Saccharomyces cerevisiae S288C: one gene and its partners. Changing the gene in region 4 together with the main gene of any one other region gives a genetic interaction. Each region holds a gene or a part of one and is shown on either strand. Other genes may lie near its edges.

Evidence for each region.
Region 1: mutations in IWR1 (region 4) and MDV1 together harm fitness more than expected from each alone (negative genetic interaction), as found in Saccharomyces cerevisiae (2 studies listed by BioGRID).
Region 2: mutations in IWR1 (region 4) and RRD1 together harm fitness more than expected from each alone (negative genetic interaction), as found in Saccharomyces cerevisiae (2 studies listed by BioGRID).
Region 3: mutations in IWR1 (region 4) and SDD3 together harm fitness more than expected from each alone (negative genetic interaction), as found in Saccharomyces cerevisiae (2 studies listed by BioGRID).

The regions. Positions count from the first base shown.
Region 1 is NC_001142.9:203,663-208,009, forward strand, and holds MDV1 (Mdv1p), read left to right. Parts: upstream 1-1,642; coding exon 1,643-3,787; downstream 3,788-4,347. Other genes in the region: chaperonin-containing T-complex subunit CCT7, read left to right, coding at 4,215-4,347. UniProt on the Saccharomyces cerevisiae protein: Involved in mitochondrial fission. Has a partially redundant function to CAF4 in acting as an adapter protein, binding to FIS1 on the mitochondrial outer membrane and recruiting the dynamin-like GTPase DNM1 to form mitochondrial fission complexes.
Region 2 is NC_001141.2:53,262-56,942, forward strand, and holds RRD1 (peptidylprolyl isomerase RRD1), read left to right. Parts: upstream 1-1,936; coding exon 1,937-3,118; downstream 3,119-3,681. Other genes in the region: GUT2 (glycerol-3-phosphate dehydrogenase), read right to left, coding at 1-447; IMP21 (Imp21p), read right to left, coding at 720-1,760; VPR1 (Vpr1p), read left to right, coding at 3,284-3,681. UniProt on the Saccharomyces cerevisiae protein: PPIases accelerate the folding of proteins. It catalyzes the cis-trans isomerization of proline imidic peptide bonds in oligopeptides.
Region 3 is NC_001147.6:132,205-137,662, reverse strand, and holds SDD3 (Sdd3p), read left to right. Parts: upstream 1-1,824; coding exon 1,825-4,938; downstream 4,939-5,458. Other genes in the region: tryptophan--tRNA ligase WRS1, read left to right, coding at 1-1,136; YOL097W-A (uncharacterized protein), read right to left, coding at 1,258-1,443; serine/threonine protein kinase PKH2, read right to left, coding at 5,181-5,458.
Region 4 is NC_001136.10:253,481-257,004, reverse strand, and holds IWR1 (Iwr1p), read left to right. Parts: upstream 1-1,878; coding exon 1,879-1,960; intron 1,961-2,030; coding exon 2,031-3,010; downstream 3,011-3,524. Other genes in the region: ATG20 (Atg20p), read left to right, coding at 1-372; YDL114W (short-chain dehydrogenase/reductase), read right to left, coding at 475-1,401; NUP84 (Nup84p), read right to left, coding at 3,259-3,524. UniProt on the Saccharomyces cerevisiae protein: Directs RNA polymerase II nuclear import. Binds RNA polymerase II in the active center cleft between the two largest subunits in the cytoplasm.

The DNA of each region.
Region 1 (4,347 bases), on a different chromosome or scaffold from region 4:
TAATATGACCAATCGGCGTGTGTTTTATATACCTCTCTTATTTAGTATAAGAAGATCAGTACTCACTTCTTCATTAATACTAATTTTTAACCTCTAATTATCAACATATCAATATATTATTGAAGATTGGGTGAATTTTGAGATAATTGTTGGGATTCCATTTTTAATAAGGCAATAATATTAGGTATGTAGATATACTAGAAGTTCTCCTCCAGGATTTAGGAATCCATAAAAGGAAATCTGCAATTCTACACAATTCTATAAATATTATTATCATCATTTTATATGTTAATATTCATTGATCCTATTACATTATCAATCCTTGCGTTTCAGCTTCCACTAATTTAGATGACTATTTCTCATCATTTGCGTCATCTTCTAACACCGTATATGATAATATACTAGTAACGTAAATACTAGTTAGTAGATGATAGTTGATTTTTATTCCAACAATTATCATATACGGTGTTAAGATGATGACATAAGTTATGAGAAGCTGTCATCGAAGTTAGAGGAAGCTGAAGTGCAAGGATTGATAATGTAATAGGATAATGAAACATATAAAACGGAATGAGGAATAATCGTAATATTAGTATGTAGAAATATAGATTCCATTTTGAGGATTCCTATATCCTCGAGGAGAACTTCTAGTATATTCTGTATACCTAATATTATACCCTCTATCAACAACAGGATTCCAACAATTATTTCAAAATCCACCCATATCTCAGATTTCACATCAGTATTGATTAAAATATTAATTGCTACCAGTTCTAATAAATCTAATGTTTACATCATATAGTAATATATCTTTTGAGAAATGTGACTGGCGTTATACAGAAACCGAATTACACGTTTTAAATACTAATTATTAAAATTTATCCTGATAAGTTGATCTTTATTTCCGTACAGCACAACCGATAGAGGAGATGTTTAAAGTGTTTAAGCTCACTTTATAGGGTGAAACACATTTTGACGACCGTAAAAGGTCATTTGATTTGGTATTGAGGTCGAGAAAATATTTTCAAATAGTGAAGGATACATTAAACACGCTCACAAAACAACATAAAAATCCGTGATAGTTTAATGGTCAGAATGGGCGCTTGTCGCGTGCCAGATCGGGGTTCAATTCCCCGTCGCGGAGATTTTTTTTGGCCCTTGATGACTGTTCTGGTACAATTTCCACCTTGAATGAGGGTATAAGATACCGATGATATATATTCAGACTATTTCTACGACACAGAAAAACAATCGACCAAGCCGTCCTTGAACATGCTGCAGAACTTCCTTTTTTTTATTTTTTTTGGCTCATCTACGTAATCCTATTATCTTTTATTAAATTTTGAAGCTATGAGTTTCTTTCCAGCGACTTGGAACCAATAGTTGACAGTGAGTGCATACTTGAGTATTTTCCCCCTACATTGTACAGTCCTCCTCAGACCTGGTATCCCTGTTTAATGTGGTCGCTCATCGGACTTTTCCGTCCGATAGGAATTCGCTCAACTTTGACAGGCGGAACTACTTTCACATCGATTTTCTCAGGAAAGACGGCGTAAACAAGAGAAGAAATTAACTTTCTACAGAAAGTACAACCATATAAACCCTTCGTAGAGCTCCAATTAGTAGCAAATAATGACAAATAATGTCAGTGAACGACCAAATAACTCATATAGGAAAAACATTGTCCACAACGGCTTCCGCTTTTTTAAACTACCAAAAATCGAACAGCAACACTCAAGATGTACTGACCAATAATGGGCCTTATAAGAATTTATTATCAAATACCGTCAACAATGCGAGCTCAACTTCATACTTTTACAAGAGGACTGAACACGGTCGCTTTGTAAAAAATGCATCTAACACTTTTGAGGATATTTACTCCAAGACAAGAAGGGGCGATGTATTCAGGAACAAGTTCACAGACAACAAAACATGCTTCAGAATGCTCACGTACATAAGTGATGATTTGTTGAACGAGATCCCAACTAAGGAAGGTCTCAAAAGTGATGCAGATGGCAAGCTTCTAACCGAAGGAGGCGAAAATGAAAATCTCAGGAAGAACGCATCCAAAAAAGAAACATCGCTGTTTCAGGGCTTTAAAAGCTACCTACCAATAGCGGAGCTTGCCATTGAAAACACTGAAAGATTAAACTATGATACAAATGGTACAAGCGGTACGGTTGGTGCGAAAGATGTTATGTCTAAAACAAATGAGCGAGATGAAATTCACACAGAGCTTCCTAACTTCCAAGATTCATTTCTCATACCGCCTGGGGTAGAAACTAAAAAAATAAGCTCCTCTTATTCTCCTAGTGCATTAAAAAGTTTTTCTCAAACTCTTGTAAATAGTTTAGAGTTTTTAAATATTCAGAAAAATTCTACGTTATCCGAAATAAGAGACATTGAAGTTGAAGTTGAGAATCTGAGACAAAAGAAAGAGAAACTGTTGGGTAAAATTGCGAACATAGAGCAAAATCAATTACTATTGGAAGACAACCTCAAACAGATTGATGATAGGTTGGACTTTTTAGAAGAGTACGGATTGGAGGTGATCGAAGCTAATAGCGACGAAAATGCAGAAGATGATGGTATGAGTGAGCGAAAGGCCCTTAAAAATGATGCTATAAGAAATGAGGGTGTCACCACAGAGAGCATATCATCAGAGGCTTCTAATCTACCTCCAAGGAGAAGGCAACAACTTCGAGACGATAACTCATTGAATAGATTAGGTGCCTTTTATAGCAAATCCAAAAAAAGACACAGAAAAAGCTTCCCAACATTCCAGCAGCTTTACGAGCCAGGAACAAAAATTGGCTCTATAATGTCCACTCACGATGATTTCCTCACTTGCCTAGATTTTGATGCGCCCTTTGGTACCTTATGTACAGCCGGATATCTTGATCACACGGTAAAAATTTGGGATTTATCCAAACAAAACAAAATTGGAGAACTAGCAGGACATCTTGCTACAATTAATTGTATGCAAATCAATCGTGACTACGGAACTCTTGTTACTGGTGGTAGAGATGCGGCTTTAAAATTATGGAATTTGAATTTAGCTCAACAACTTTACCAGGAAACGCAAAATCTTACCTCTCCTACAAATCATATTGATTCTCCATGTGTTCATACATTTGAGGCGCATACAGATGAGGTTACTGCATTATCATTAGATCCTAGTTTCTTGGTGAGTGGTTCACAGGATAGAACAATTAGGCAATGGGACTTACGTTCCGGGAAGTGCTTGCAAACCATTGATCTGAGCTTTGCAAATGTCTTAACAACATCCACTAATGTCGATTTATCAAAGAGCACACTTCTTACTCAAAGAAATGAGAGGCCTAGTATAGGTGCACTACAAAGTTTTGATGCAGCGCTAGCAACGGGTACAAAAGATGGTGTTGTAAGGCTATGGGATTTAAGATCCGGAAAGGTGATTCGTACTTTGAAAGGGCATACAGATGCCATAACGTCATTAAAATTTGATTCCGCGTGCCTGGTCACAGGTTCATACGACAGAACAGTTAGAATCTGGGACTTAAGAACTGGGTTGTTGAATAAGTTTCATGCGTACAGTGCGCCAGTTCTTTCGTTAGATCTCTTCCAAGAGAACGCTGCAGTCGTTGTCGCAGACGAACCAAGTGTCCAGATATACGATAGCGAAAAGGATGAAAGCTGGTCTTGCGTCGAACAAGGTAACGAGACTAGCGTTAGTACCGTTAAGTATAAAGAAAATTACATGGTTGAGGGTCGTGAAAATGGGGACGTAAATATTTGGGCCGTATGATAGGCATTGCATTGCAATCAAGTCAACCCATTTGAAGAAAAATAAATATCGAGTGCATATGTGAATAGCTGCTCGCTCAGATATATATAAATAAATATTCGTTCTGGAATGTAAATAAAGTATCGTCAATACCTTGGATGGTTTATCAGCGAAATCGGTGCTGTAGATGTTGCCCTGTCATATTACTACAGATGTCTTGGAAGCAATCACCATACCTGCATTATCCTTACCCGGAAAAAGAAAACTTTCGTGAATAATGATTAATATTTAAGTGGCGACTTTTTCATCCTTGCTATTGAAAAAAAAAAAAATGAATAATTGTTATTAAGCGTTAGCAGATGCCAAATTGTCGAAATGATTTCAAATACAGAGAATTAGCCGCAAATATTAAGTAGTACCTGAATCACGAGACATACAACTCGGAAAAATGAACTTTGGAAGCCAAACACCTACAATTGTGGTTCTAAAAGAGGGAACAGACGCATCTCAAGGTAAAGGTCAAATCATCTCTAATATCAATGCCTGTGTTGCAGTCCAAGAGGCATTGAAACCAACTTTAG
Region 2 (3,681 bases), on a different chromosome or scaffold from region 4:
GGCAGTGTTGATAAGATGTTTACGCTCGTTGAGTGCCTCGATGACCAGATCCAGTTGTGCCTTGGAGAACTCCCAGAAGGCCTTCTCTAAGTACCGCACCCCACCGTGAATCATCTTGGTAGATTTGGACGACGTTCCCGAGGCAAAATCCCCCTTTTCAACAAGGGCCACATTGAGTCCCCTGGTCGCAGCATCTAGGGCACATCCTGTCCCCGTGGCCCCGCCACCGATGATCAACACGTCGAATTGATGCGTCTTGGCCAGACGGTCCAGCAGGTCTCGTCTAGAGACCTGCGGTGGAGCGGCGGTGGGGAATTGCACCATGTAGCTCGGGTCATTGTGCACTAACGGCCTATCACCTTGGCTAGTCATCCAGTACAGCGTCCCCGTGGCTGTGGCCATGGCAGCAGCTGCACCGGCAGCTCTTCTTCTCGTTACCGAAAACATATATTAGTACGTATTTAGTCTTGTAGCAGTGATGGCAATAGCACGGTCAAGATAAGGGAGGGAGAGTCCTTGCTTTAGACCAAAGTTCCCTATTTGTGGCTGTTCTCTTTTAAGTTTAAATACGATTTTTAGCGTGCGGGGTTGTGAAATTTCCCCTGCCAAAACTGAAATAAAGTTGGGTGGATAACGTATCGGAGCAGAGAAAAGACATAAGGTCTGTTGCTGTATATAAGTATGTGTTGCTAAAAAGGAATTAGTGCAGTGATTATTGGTCACTCGCTGATGCCCTTGCGCTTGGCACGTTTCAGCTTCTTTCTAACCGCGAGGATGGGCACAGAGCAGACGAAGTTCTGCAGAGTGGACAGGATGACCGAGAGGGAGCAGCACAGGGCGACTGGCTTGAGGCCGTGGATCATCTCGTTGAGGAGGTGTTTTGGGTACGGATGGGTCAAGGAGAGGACGACGACGTCGAGGTCGTCGAGCACGCCCGCGACGCAGTCAAACAGGTGCATGACGTGCTTTCTGATTCTGGCAACGTTGGCGAACATCTGGGAGTCGTCCGTGGGCTTCGAGGGCTCCCAGTGGACAATGTAGACGGTGTCTCCCTGGTTGACAGCTGCGCCCATGAGATAGGTCAGGGCGTAGGTGGACTCGCTGCTCAGGTCCGTGTAGAGGATGAAGGACCTTTGGTTCCCGGCCTCTGCGCCGGCACCCTTGGTGAGTAGTTGCATGGCTCTGACGTAGCCTCCGTCGAGTTGCTCCAGAGACACGTCTTCGTTTTCGTGGCCACGGATGCTGATCTCGTACTTGGCTATCCAGGGCTTGCTGGAGTCTAGCACTTCGTTTATGCTGGTACAAAAGTTGGGTAACACTTTCATGCCCAGATCGTAGTGGAACTCCTCGTCAATCTCTAAATCGTTCTCTATATCGCTCACTTGCTCTTCATCGGACTCTTCCTCGTCCATATCGTCGCCGTCGCCGTCGTCGTCATCTTCGTCGTTGCCCTCACCTTCCTCTTCAGAATCCACATCCACGACCCTCAACCGCATCGAGGGGTCCTGCCTCAACACGGTCCACTTGAGGAACTCTTCCTCCCTTACTCTGCTGCGGCTACTGGCCCTGCTTCTCGACCGCGACAGACTGCTCACGTTTGAGTCTCGTTCGCCTCTTTTCTTCTTGCTACGACCTCTTTCCCTGTGGCCCCTTTCCATCTGCTCCGAGTCGAACTCCACCGTGGTGGGCGTTTCCGTTTTGATGCTGTGTAGATTCGATTGTGTTCCGTCAGGTTTAGTCAGCAATATGCTCTTCTGCATTGCGTACTTGGTTGTTTCTCTTGTTGGTTCTTTTGGTACTCACCCTTTCCATAGTCTCTTGTGTTTGATCAAGCCTTTTTTCCGGACCTTTAAAGCTTTCTTAAAAAGATAAAATAGGAAGAAAGTGCAAAGTGCAAAAGAACGCACATATGAACAAGCATTAAACGAGCAAAGAAATGTCTCTGGATCGTGTAGATTGGCCGCACGCCACCTTCTCTACGCCGGTGAAGCGTATCTTCGATACGCAGACAACGCTGGACTTCCAATCGTCACTAGCCATTCACAGAATCAAGTATCATCTTCACAAGTACACTACGTTGATATCGCACTGTTCTGACCCCGACCCGCACGCTACTGCGTCGTCGATCGCCATGGTTAACGGGCTGATGGGAGTGTTGGACAAGCTGGCACACCTGATCGACGAGACACCGCCTCTTCCAGGTCCTAGAAGGTATGGTAACCTAGCATGCCGCGAGTGGCATCACAAGCTGGATGAACGTTTGCCTCAGTGGCTGCAGGAAATGCTTCCCTCGGAATACCATGAGGTGGTGCCTGAATTGCAGTATTACCTGGGCAACAGCTTTGGTTCGTCGACAAGATTGGACTACGGCACGGGCCACGAACTTTCGTTCATGGCCACGGTCGCAGCACTGGACATGCTGGGGATGTTTCCGCACATGAGGGGGGCAGACGTTTTTCTGCTGTTCAACAAGTACTACACGATCATGAGGAGGCTGATCCTGACGTATACGCTGGAGCCCGCTGGGTCACATGGCGTGTGGGGGCTTGATGACCATTTCCACTTGGTGTACATCTTGGGCTCGTCTCAATGGCAGCTGCTTGATGCGCAAGCACCCTTGCAACCAAGAGAAATACTGGATAAGTCTCTGGTGCGCGAGTATAAGGACACCAACTTCTACTGCCAAGGCATAAACTTTATTAATGAGGTGAAAATGGGGCCCTTTGAAGAGCATTCCCCCATCCTATACGATATTGCCGTCACCGTTCCACGCTGGTCCAAAGTGTGTAAGGGGCTTCTAAAAATGTATTCTGTAGAGGTTCTGAAGAAGTTCCCCGTGGTGCAACATTTCTGGTTCGGCACAGGCTTCTTTCCCTGGGTCAACATTCAAAACGGCACTGATCTTCCAGTCTTTGAAGAAAAGGAGGAAGAGAGTATAGAACAGGCTAACGCAGGATCGCCCGGTCGAGAACAGACTTCAACACGATTCCCAACGTCCACGTCAATGCCTCCCCCAGGCGTTCCGCCGTCAGGTAACAATATCAACTATTTACTAAGCCATCAAAACCAGTCGCACCGGAACCAGACTTCTTTTTCAAGAGATAGACTACGTAGATAATATTAATTAAACATATAAATGTGTATGACAAGCATTATGACTTCTATTTTCGTTCTTTTTTACTTGCGTCTACAATATATAAGCATATAATCAGATGAAAAAAGGAAAAGGAAGCGGTAATACAAATAAACAAAGAAGTGGAAAAAGTCGCCACAGTGTAAGCAAATGAGTCACAAGAGAAGGGGCCTGGTAATATATCAGGATCAGAAGCAGCAACAACAACACCCCCCGGGGCAGTCCCTAAGCTCTATATCCTGGTCTCCAACCAGGCGACCTCATCACCCTTTAAAACAACAAAGCACCAACAGTTTCTCAGAAATACTATCGAAATCAAGTGTGCAACCGAACGTGCAACATGACGGTAATCATATGCCCATTTCATTGCTAGTTCTGAAACAAGAACATCATAAGCAGCAGCAGCAGCAGCAGCAGCGCCAGAATATCCGATCACAAAACTCTACGCCTCCCCTGCGACAGTTGGTTCAGGAGTCGCAGTGGACGAGCTCCGCAAGTAATAGTTCTCTAAAGAAACAGGAAAAGCAGCCGCAAACATTCTACAACAC
Region 3 (5,458 bases), on a different chromosome or scaffold from region 4:
GTACTAAGCCGGTCAACGAAGAAACCCTGAAGAGATTCAAGCAAGTGACGGGTCGTGAACCACATCATTTTTTGCGTAAGGGATTGTTTTTCAGTGAGCGTGACTTCACTAAAATATTAGACCTTTACGAACAAGGCAAACCATTTTTCCTATACACTGGTAGAGGTCCTTCGAGCGATTCTATGCACTTGGGTCATATGATCCCTTTTGTCTTCACCAAATGGTTACAGGAAGTGTTTGACGTACCATTAGTCATAGAGTTGACAGATGACGAAAAATTTTTATTCAAACACAAGTTGACCATCAATGACGTTAAGAATTTTGCCCGTGAAAATGCCAAGGATATCATTGCTGTTGGCTTTGATCCAAAGAACACCTTTATCTTTTCTGATTTGCAATACATGGGTGGTGCATTTTACGAAACTGTAGTAAGAGTTTCCAGACAAATTACAGGATCCACTGCAAAGGCTGTTTTCGGGTTTAATGACTCCGACTGTATTGGTAAGTTCCATTTTGCCTCCATTCAAATTGCTACCGCATTCCCAAGCTCATTTCCTAATGTGTTAGGCTTGCCTGATAAGACACCATGTTTGATTCCATGTGCAATTGACCAAGATCCATATTTCAGAGTTTGTAGGGATGTCGCGGATAAATTGAAGTACTCCAAACCTGCTTTGCTTCATTCCAGATTCTTTCCAGCTTTGCAAGGTTCCACGACCAAAATGTCAGCCTCTGATGATACCACTGCCATTTTCATGACCGATACACCAAAGCAAATTCAAAAGAAAATTAACAAGTACGCATTCAGCGGTGGTCAAGTGTCCGCCGACCTACATAGAGAATTAGGTGGTAATCCCGATGTCGATGTTGCATACCAATACTTGTCATTTTTCAAGGATGACGATGTTTTCTTGAAGGAATGCTATGACAAATATAAGTCCGGTGAATTACTATCAGGTGAAATGAAGAAACTGTGTATCGAGACTCTGCAAGAATTCGTTAAGGCGTTCCAGGAACGCAGAGCTCAGGTGGACGAAGAGACCTTGGACAAATTCATGGTCCCACATAAGTTGGTTTGGGGCGAAAAGGAAAGACTTGTCGCACCTAAGCCAAAAACTAAGCAAGAAAAGAAGTAAGTAGTCACGCTTATTCTGACGCTATTATATACAATGATATAGAATCCGAAATTGTAGTTTAACACTAAAAAAATAATGCAATAGAACAATAGTGTTGCGATGTCTCCTGACCTCACTATTTCTATAGATTGGTATGAAAAATTTTTTTTTCAAATATATGGGAAAAATTTTTCACGGCATATAAAAGACTACCATCTTTCTGCATCAGTGTGCCAGACCCATTCTCACACCAAGAAGCGAGGAAGCTAACAGGCCAGTACTTGCAGGTTAGGTTTTCGTGCTCAGATGAGCAGATCATGGACTGCATTGTGCTGTTGTTGCACAGTAAATTTTGTATACCATACTTTATGATGATATTCTTTACGAACTTTTAGACGTTAGACTTCTGAAGGAGATTAGACCCTCCTATGGAAGAGAAACTCGTTAAACTTATCTGAGTAGGTATGTGTATATGCGTCTCTTGTATTATACAAATGTTCTTATTTCTTGTCCTGCATTTTTCCGAGTATTGGTAAATTCATGTAAATTTTTCATCCCATAGATCGTAATTTTGAAGTAGTGGCAAAAGATTTTAACAGAGCGTAAGATATAGTGAGAGAAACTACTCGCTGAAAAGTTGAAAGTGACCCAAAAAACGGCACGAAGACCAATTATACGCACTTTCAACACAGTTCGTCGAATCTTCACAATGGGGTTCAAGAAGCTCGTATCATTCCAACCGGATTATGTCCCACAATACCATATAACTAAATATATCTCGGAACGAACTAAACTGCAACTGGTACATATAAACCACAAAACCTCCCCATTGGTTCACGGTTACTTTGCTGTTCCTACAGAATGTCTTAATGATTCAGGTGCTCCGCATACCTTGGAGCATTTGATCTTCATGGGTTCTAAATCTTACCCATACAAAGGTTTATTAGACACAGCTGGTAATCTGTCTTTGTCTAACACCAATGCTTGGACTGATACCGACCAAACTGTTTATACATTAAGCAGTGCTGGCTGGAAGGGATTCTCAAAGTTGCTACCTGCTTATCTAGATCACATCCTACATCCAACTTTAACAGACGAGGCTTGTTTAACTGAGGTTTATCACATCGACCCGGAAAATTTGGGTGATAAAGGTGTGGTATTTAGTGAAATGGAAGCCATTGAAACTCAGGGCTGGTACATTTCAGGGTTAGAAAAGCAGCGATTAATGTTTCCTGAAGGAAGTGGCTATCGGTCAGAAACTGGTGGGCTAACGAAAAATTTAAGAACCTTAACCAACGACGAAATCAGACAATTTCACAAATCTCTGTATTCTTCTGATAATCTTTGTGTCATTGTTTGTGGTAACGTACCAACAGATGAACTGTTAACCGTCATGGAAGAATGGGATAACAAATTGCCGGAGATTCCATCGAATATACCAAAGAAAAGACCATTTTTGGACAACAAGCTTTCGCACATACCGCAATCTAGAGATAAAGTTACGGAATCTACTGTAGAATTTCCTGAACTTGATGAAAGTCAGGGTGAATTACTCTTTTCTTGGATTGGTGTTCCCTACTCAGATTTTCGTAATGACCTAGCGGTTGATGTGCTATTAGATTACTTTACTGACTCTGCATTGGCAGTGTTTACAAGAGAACTGGTTGAAATTGACGATCCCATGGCAAATTCCACTGATTGTTGCACTGATTATTTCATGAGAACCATAATTGATCTTCGTATCCAAGGTGTCCCAACAGAAAAAATAGCAGCAACAAAGACCAAGGTACTGGAGATTTTGAAAACCCATACCATTGATTTATCAAGAGTTAGACAGGTAGTTGAAAATACTAAATGGGAATATTTGCTGAACTATGAAAAAAATGGCGAGAGTCGTTTTTCTAGTGCTGTGATTACCGACTATATTTATGGTAATGAAGATGGTTCTTCATTAGTGTCTTCTCTCAAGGATTTAAGTGATTTTGATGCTTTATTACAATGGTCCCAAAAGGACTGGCAATCTTTGCTGAACAGAATATTCGTAGACAACAAACCTATCATAGTTACCGCTAAACCAAGCGCTTTGATGTATGAACAACTAGAGAAAGAAAAATCGGATTTGATCAAACAAAGAGAAGCTGAATTTGATGATGAAAAGAAACTGGTTTTATTGAAAAGATTGAACAATGCAAAAAATATTAATGATAGGCCAATTCCGAAATCTCTACTACAGAAATTTGAGATTGATAATCCTTCAAAGAGTGTTGAATTTGTCAACACGAAAAGCATTGCAACTGTCGATTCGTATAAATACAATAATGTTAGTGATCCGCTGACCAAAAAAATTTTAGAAACGAGGCCAGACAATTTTCCTCTTTTCATTCACTTAAATCATTTCCCGTCTCAATTTATAGAGCTGCATTTTTTGGTCAACTCCGCATCTATTAAGGATACCTCGCTTTTACCATATTTTAATATGTTTGACGAGCTATTTTCCATGCCAATGAAAATCCTTGATGAGGAGAGTAATGTAGAAACTATGCTCTCGTTTGAGGAAGTTGTCGCCAAGTTAAAATCAGAAACTATTGACGCACAGATCAACCAAGGTTTGAAGGGTTCTTGTCCTGACCTTATTAATTTTAAAATTCAATGTAGAGCTGGGGGTTACTCTAACTCTGTTCAATGGATCAAGCACTGCCTATTTGACATGGTTTTTGATGAAAATCGTGTTCGTATTCTGCTGGAGAATTATTTGAATTCTATTGTAGAATGGAAAAGAAATGGTAATGTTATGTTAAGTTCTTTAACTAACAGAAATCTCTATTCGGCAAGATCGCTGAAAAAATCCACCGATCCATTATTTGTTGAAGCAAAATTACAAGAGATTTTTGCAGAAATTGAGAATGGCAACTTTGAGAAAGAAATTTTGCCAAGAATAGAAACAATGAGAAAGCAACTGAGAGCAAATTTCAACAAGTTTCATATTTTGGTTCTTGGTGACATCTCAAAGATCGATGACGTTTATGAACCATGGAATCCCTTAATTAAGTGCTTGAACATTGCACATCCAGTTGAGAAGTTAAAAATTCCACCAGTTCCAAGAGCCCTAGATACCATTTCATCGATTTGCAGAACACCTGGTGAAAAGGCCTTTATAATAACTACTCCCGCCTCAGAATCTGCTTATATGAATCTAATAACGTCTATCCCATTTAACTTGGACTACCATGATCCCGAATACGCTATTGTCTCATTGGCTTCCGAATATCTAGAATGTGTTGAAGGTCCATTTTGGAAGGGAATCCGTGGTGCCGGATTGGCCTATGGTGCCAGCATGTTAAAATTATGTGAGATAAATTCTTGGGGATTCAATATTTACCGCGGCGCTGATATTATTAAATGTTATGAAGTTGGAAAACAGATTGTTCAAGATTATGCATCAGGTGCCTTGGAATTTGATGAGCAGTTAATCCAAGGTGCCATCAGTAGTATTATTAACAGGCTGGCTACTATCGAATGCGGATACTTTGAAACAGCCCTGTCCAAATATGTTGATGAATTCTGTTTGCAAAGGGGGAACAACTTCAATGAATTGTATTTGGAAAGGTTGCAGAATGTTACCAAAACAGATCTGAAAAATGCCATGCAGAAATATTTTGTCAACATGTTTGATTCCAATAAAAGCGTTGCCTTTGTGAGCTGTCATCCAGCTAAATTGGAATCAGTTCAAGAATTCTTTGAAACTCAAGGTTTCACTGTCGAAATAGAAGAGCTAGAAGATGACGATGACGAAATTGATAGTGAAGAAGACGAAAATGCGTGAGTACATGACCTCCATTTCAGCTTCACTTTCAACACAGAAACAGTGCGTATTATCTGCATTCAATAAATAGCAAAAGGAGCATTGTCTCATTCTTTTCGAATTCTGGGATTCTGCCTTACGGCGCTCTTTCATTTGATTGATCGAGAATTATTATTATATTTATATGAGTACTTGAAATTCCTCATATATTTATTTTTAGAGTATTTAAGTAGCTTGATGAAAACATTAGATAAAATTACTAATTACGACCTCTTCGATTTTGCAGATGAGTTTTTGAAATTTGTTCCTGTGTTTAGACCTAATCCCACGGTAACTTGTCTTTTTGGCAATCCGTTAACTAATTTACTGGTTAACGGTACTGGAGCAGCGTGTTTTTTTGAATTTTGTTCCTTGGCATTGATAAAGGTTTCAAAAATTCTGCTTGATCTGTTGCTCTTAGCGCTATTAATCGATTCAGAAAACGAATTGTGCTTTGAAATTGATGGAGATTGGCTATGCGTCCTGGGTTTTGGCGAAGGAG
Region 4 (3,524 bases):
ATTAATCTGGAACGCCCTAATAATAATACAGGTAGCGGTGGGAAATCATATGGTGGCAAACTATTCAATGGATTTAACAAATTGGCATCAATGGTAAAAGATTCTGTGAAGTATCAAGAAACAGATCCGCATACCGCAAGTATCAATTTGAAGAAAGAAATTGAACAACTGTCTGAATCATTGGAAGTTACTGAGAATGATTTGGAGGTCATTTCAAAAGTCATCAAAAATGACCAGCTACCTAAATTTTCTAAAGAAAGGGAAGTAGATTTATCAGAAATTTTAAAGCATTATTCCAGATATATGAGAAATTATGCCCGTCAAAATTTAGAAATTTGGAAAGAAGTCAAAAGACATCAAGATTTTGCATAGTATTATGAGCATTTTTTTTTAGCGTTATAGCATACTTGATATATATATATATAAACAACGTGAAGATCAAATAACGTCAAATGTATTAAATAGACTAAAATATTATGCACTTCTCTTCGGATTTATTGCTCGCGGGCTGGTTGACGTTACATGGTCCATTCCACTGAAATGTTTTAAGAGATGCCTATATGGCCAACTCAAAGTTTTGAAAAAGGGAACTAGGTTCACATAATATGGGGCATTTAGTGTTTGCAGATGATTATGCTCCATCGCAGAGATTATCGCTAGTGCCAGTTGGGAAGGTATGATGTCAGGAGCCAATAACTTAGATGGTGTAGGGACATCAATAAACATATTAGTTTTGATTTTTCCCGGGCACACCAGTAGTGTTTTTATTCCAGTTTTATTACATTCCGTGGACAAACTTCTGAAATGCCTGCTCATACACTTGTGAAAACCAATCATTGCTCCTTTTGATGCACCATACGATGTCAGCCTTGCAGGAGTCAGTTCTCCGAGGACTGAAGCAATGTTAATTATAAAGCCTTCCCTATTGTCTATCATATCTTCTGCAAATGTACTGATGATTCGGTAAGCACCTATTAAGTTTATGTCGATCAATTGTTCTACCTCCTTGTTTGTCATATGTTCTAACTTTTTGATGTGAGCAACACCAGCATTATTTATAATTATATTAATGTTGCCATGATCTCTTTCAATAGCTTTTTTCAAATTTTTAATTTCATCTAGACTTGTTATGTCGCATTGATAGTAGAAAATGTTATTATATTCTACCTGAGCAAAAGTAGGAAATGATTGAATATCTGCCACAATAACTTTATTAATTCTTCTGGAAAGTTCCTTTGCAAGTTCAAATCCGAGTCCACTAGAACCACCGGTTATTAGTGCAGTTGCATTTTTAGAAAGGATGGAAGGGTTGTAGCTGGGCAGACTTAGGATGACTGATGGAAAATCCTTGAGGTGTTTTGTAGTTCCACTCGCTCTATTTATTTTATTCTTGCGTACCATAATTAATAATATTTCTTACCCATAAAACTATGTTAAATATGTCACTGAATCTCTATTGAGGTGTCCTTTTGATGATGCGGTTTCAGATATGAGAAATGTTCATTCAAGAAGTGTCACAAATTCTGTTCCTCTGCTGACGCCCGCTACATATTGACGTTCAAAAATATAGAAGAAAAAGGCAGTAAAGCGTTAACATAAGAAAACTAAAGAGCAAGTCTGATTTGGCACTACCACGCTTCCAACAGAAGTAATTGTTGCTTCAAATAAGTTCGCAGCATGTGGATTCAAGTCCACAGATGCGATATTTAGGAGCCCAATCAGATAATATTGATTCCGGGTTATCTCTTGTTTGTGTCGGCACAGGGGATTTAAATTGTGTAATGCTCAAGACAAGTTATTGATGAGAACAAGAGATGGTATATAAAACTGCTCTCTGAGGTATAGCTTTTGTTGAGGTAGGCATACAAGATTTCGGGAATGAGCACTATTAGTACCACAACGGCACCTGAGTTTATCAGAGTAAAGAGAAGAAGGGATGAGGATTCTGTGCAGGCATTATGTATGTGTTGTTATTCTACCGATATAACAAAAATGCGTTTGACTAACTAAGTTCATCTGGGACAATTCAGTAATTGATGAGGGGAAAAGAGTGAAGAAGCAGAAGTTCATATTTAAATTATCAAAGACTGTGAGCTCTGAAAGCTATCAATCCGAGCAAGAGTCTTCTACGCCACTCTTAAAACTGGCTCATGAAGATCATCGACATTTTGTATTGGAACAAAGAAAAAAAAGTCGTAGAGACTCAGATGATGAAAAATCACAACAGCGGCTTGCAGCAGAAGGAAGTACTGTAGATGACGATGGGTTACCGCCAGAGATCAATCAAATGGTGAATGACTATTTAAAGTTGAATAAAGGTGTAGAAAAGACAGAAAGAAAAAAACCAAGTAGGAAATATTTTACTGGGGATTCTGCAAAAATTGCATCACTACCCAGTTTAGATTACGTTTTTGACATCTACCATTTGGAGAAAATTCATGACGATGAGGTTGCTAGATATAACAACGAGAAAAATATAGGGTTTGTGAAAATTATTGAGCATATAGATTTGGCTCTTGATGAAGAAAGTGATCCCAATGAAGCCCGTTCAGACGATGAGGATTCTAATGACGAAAACTATTACCAAAATGATTATCCGGAGGATGAAGATGATGATAGATCTATTCTATTTGGTAGCGAAGGAGAGGATATAGCTGCATTGGGTGAAGAGATTGTTATAGGGGTTAATAAGAGCAGGTTTTCCTCTTGGAATGACGATAAAATTCAGGGATCTAATGGGTACCACGATGTGGAGGAAGAGTACGGGGATCTTTTTAACAGGCTTGGAGGAAAAAGTGATGTCTTGAAATCCATAAATTCCTCGAATTTCATTGACTTGGATGGCCAAGAAGGTGAAATAGAGATAAGTGATAACGAAGATGATTCTGATGAAGGAGATGATATTGAATACCCTAGAAATGAATTTTTTCCGACGGATGTTGATGACCCATTGGCGCATCATAGGGACAGAATTTTTCATCAGCTACAGAAAAAAATTAATAGAAGCTAAATTTGCCGTCAGAAACTGTTCAATGTATGTAAGTAACTGCATCTGTAATTTTATCTTTAGATAGTAGAAAATTCATGTTTAACCGCTTTTTCACTTCATGAACTTTTTTTTCTCCGGTGTGGAAACACAAAGATTCAAAGCAAAACTATAAAAAATCACGTCAATTACTTCTGAAATAGATAGAAGAAATGCATAAAATTATTGCTGTTTACTTAAAATATAAACTTATTCTGCAATACATTAATTGATCAGTTCGAAAGGGTTGCTGTGCGAGCAACGAGATCCAGATACTCTTTTAACTTTCCACTAGATTGGAATAATAAATAAATCTTGTCGTTCTCATTAGCGACCAATGAGGTAAATGCCAGGGCTTCCGAAATAAATTTTGGGATCTTTAACAACTTTGCGGCTTCCACTAACTTTTTATGCAATTCCATCAGTAGAAATGGAGTATATAGGGCTCTAATCTCATACAGGATTTCATAATCTGCCGAATCCGCGAAATTAGAGGAAG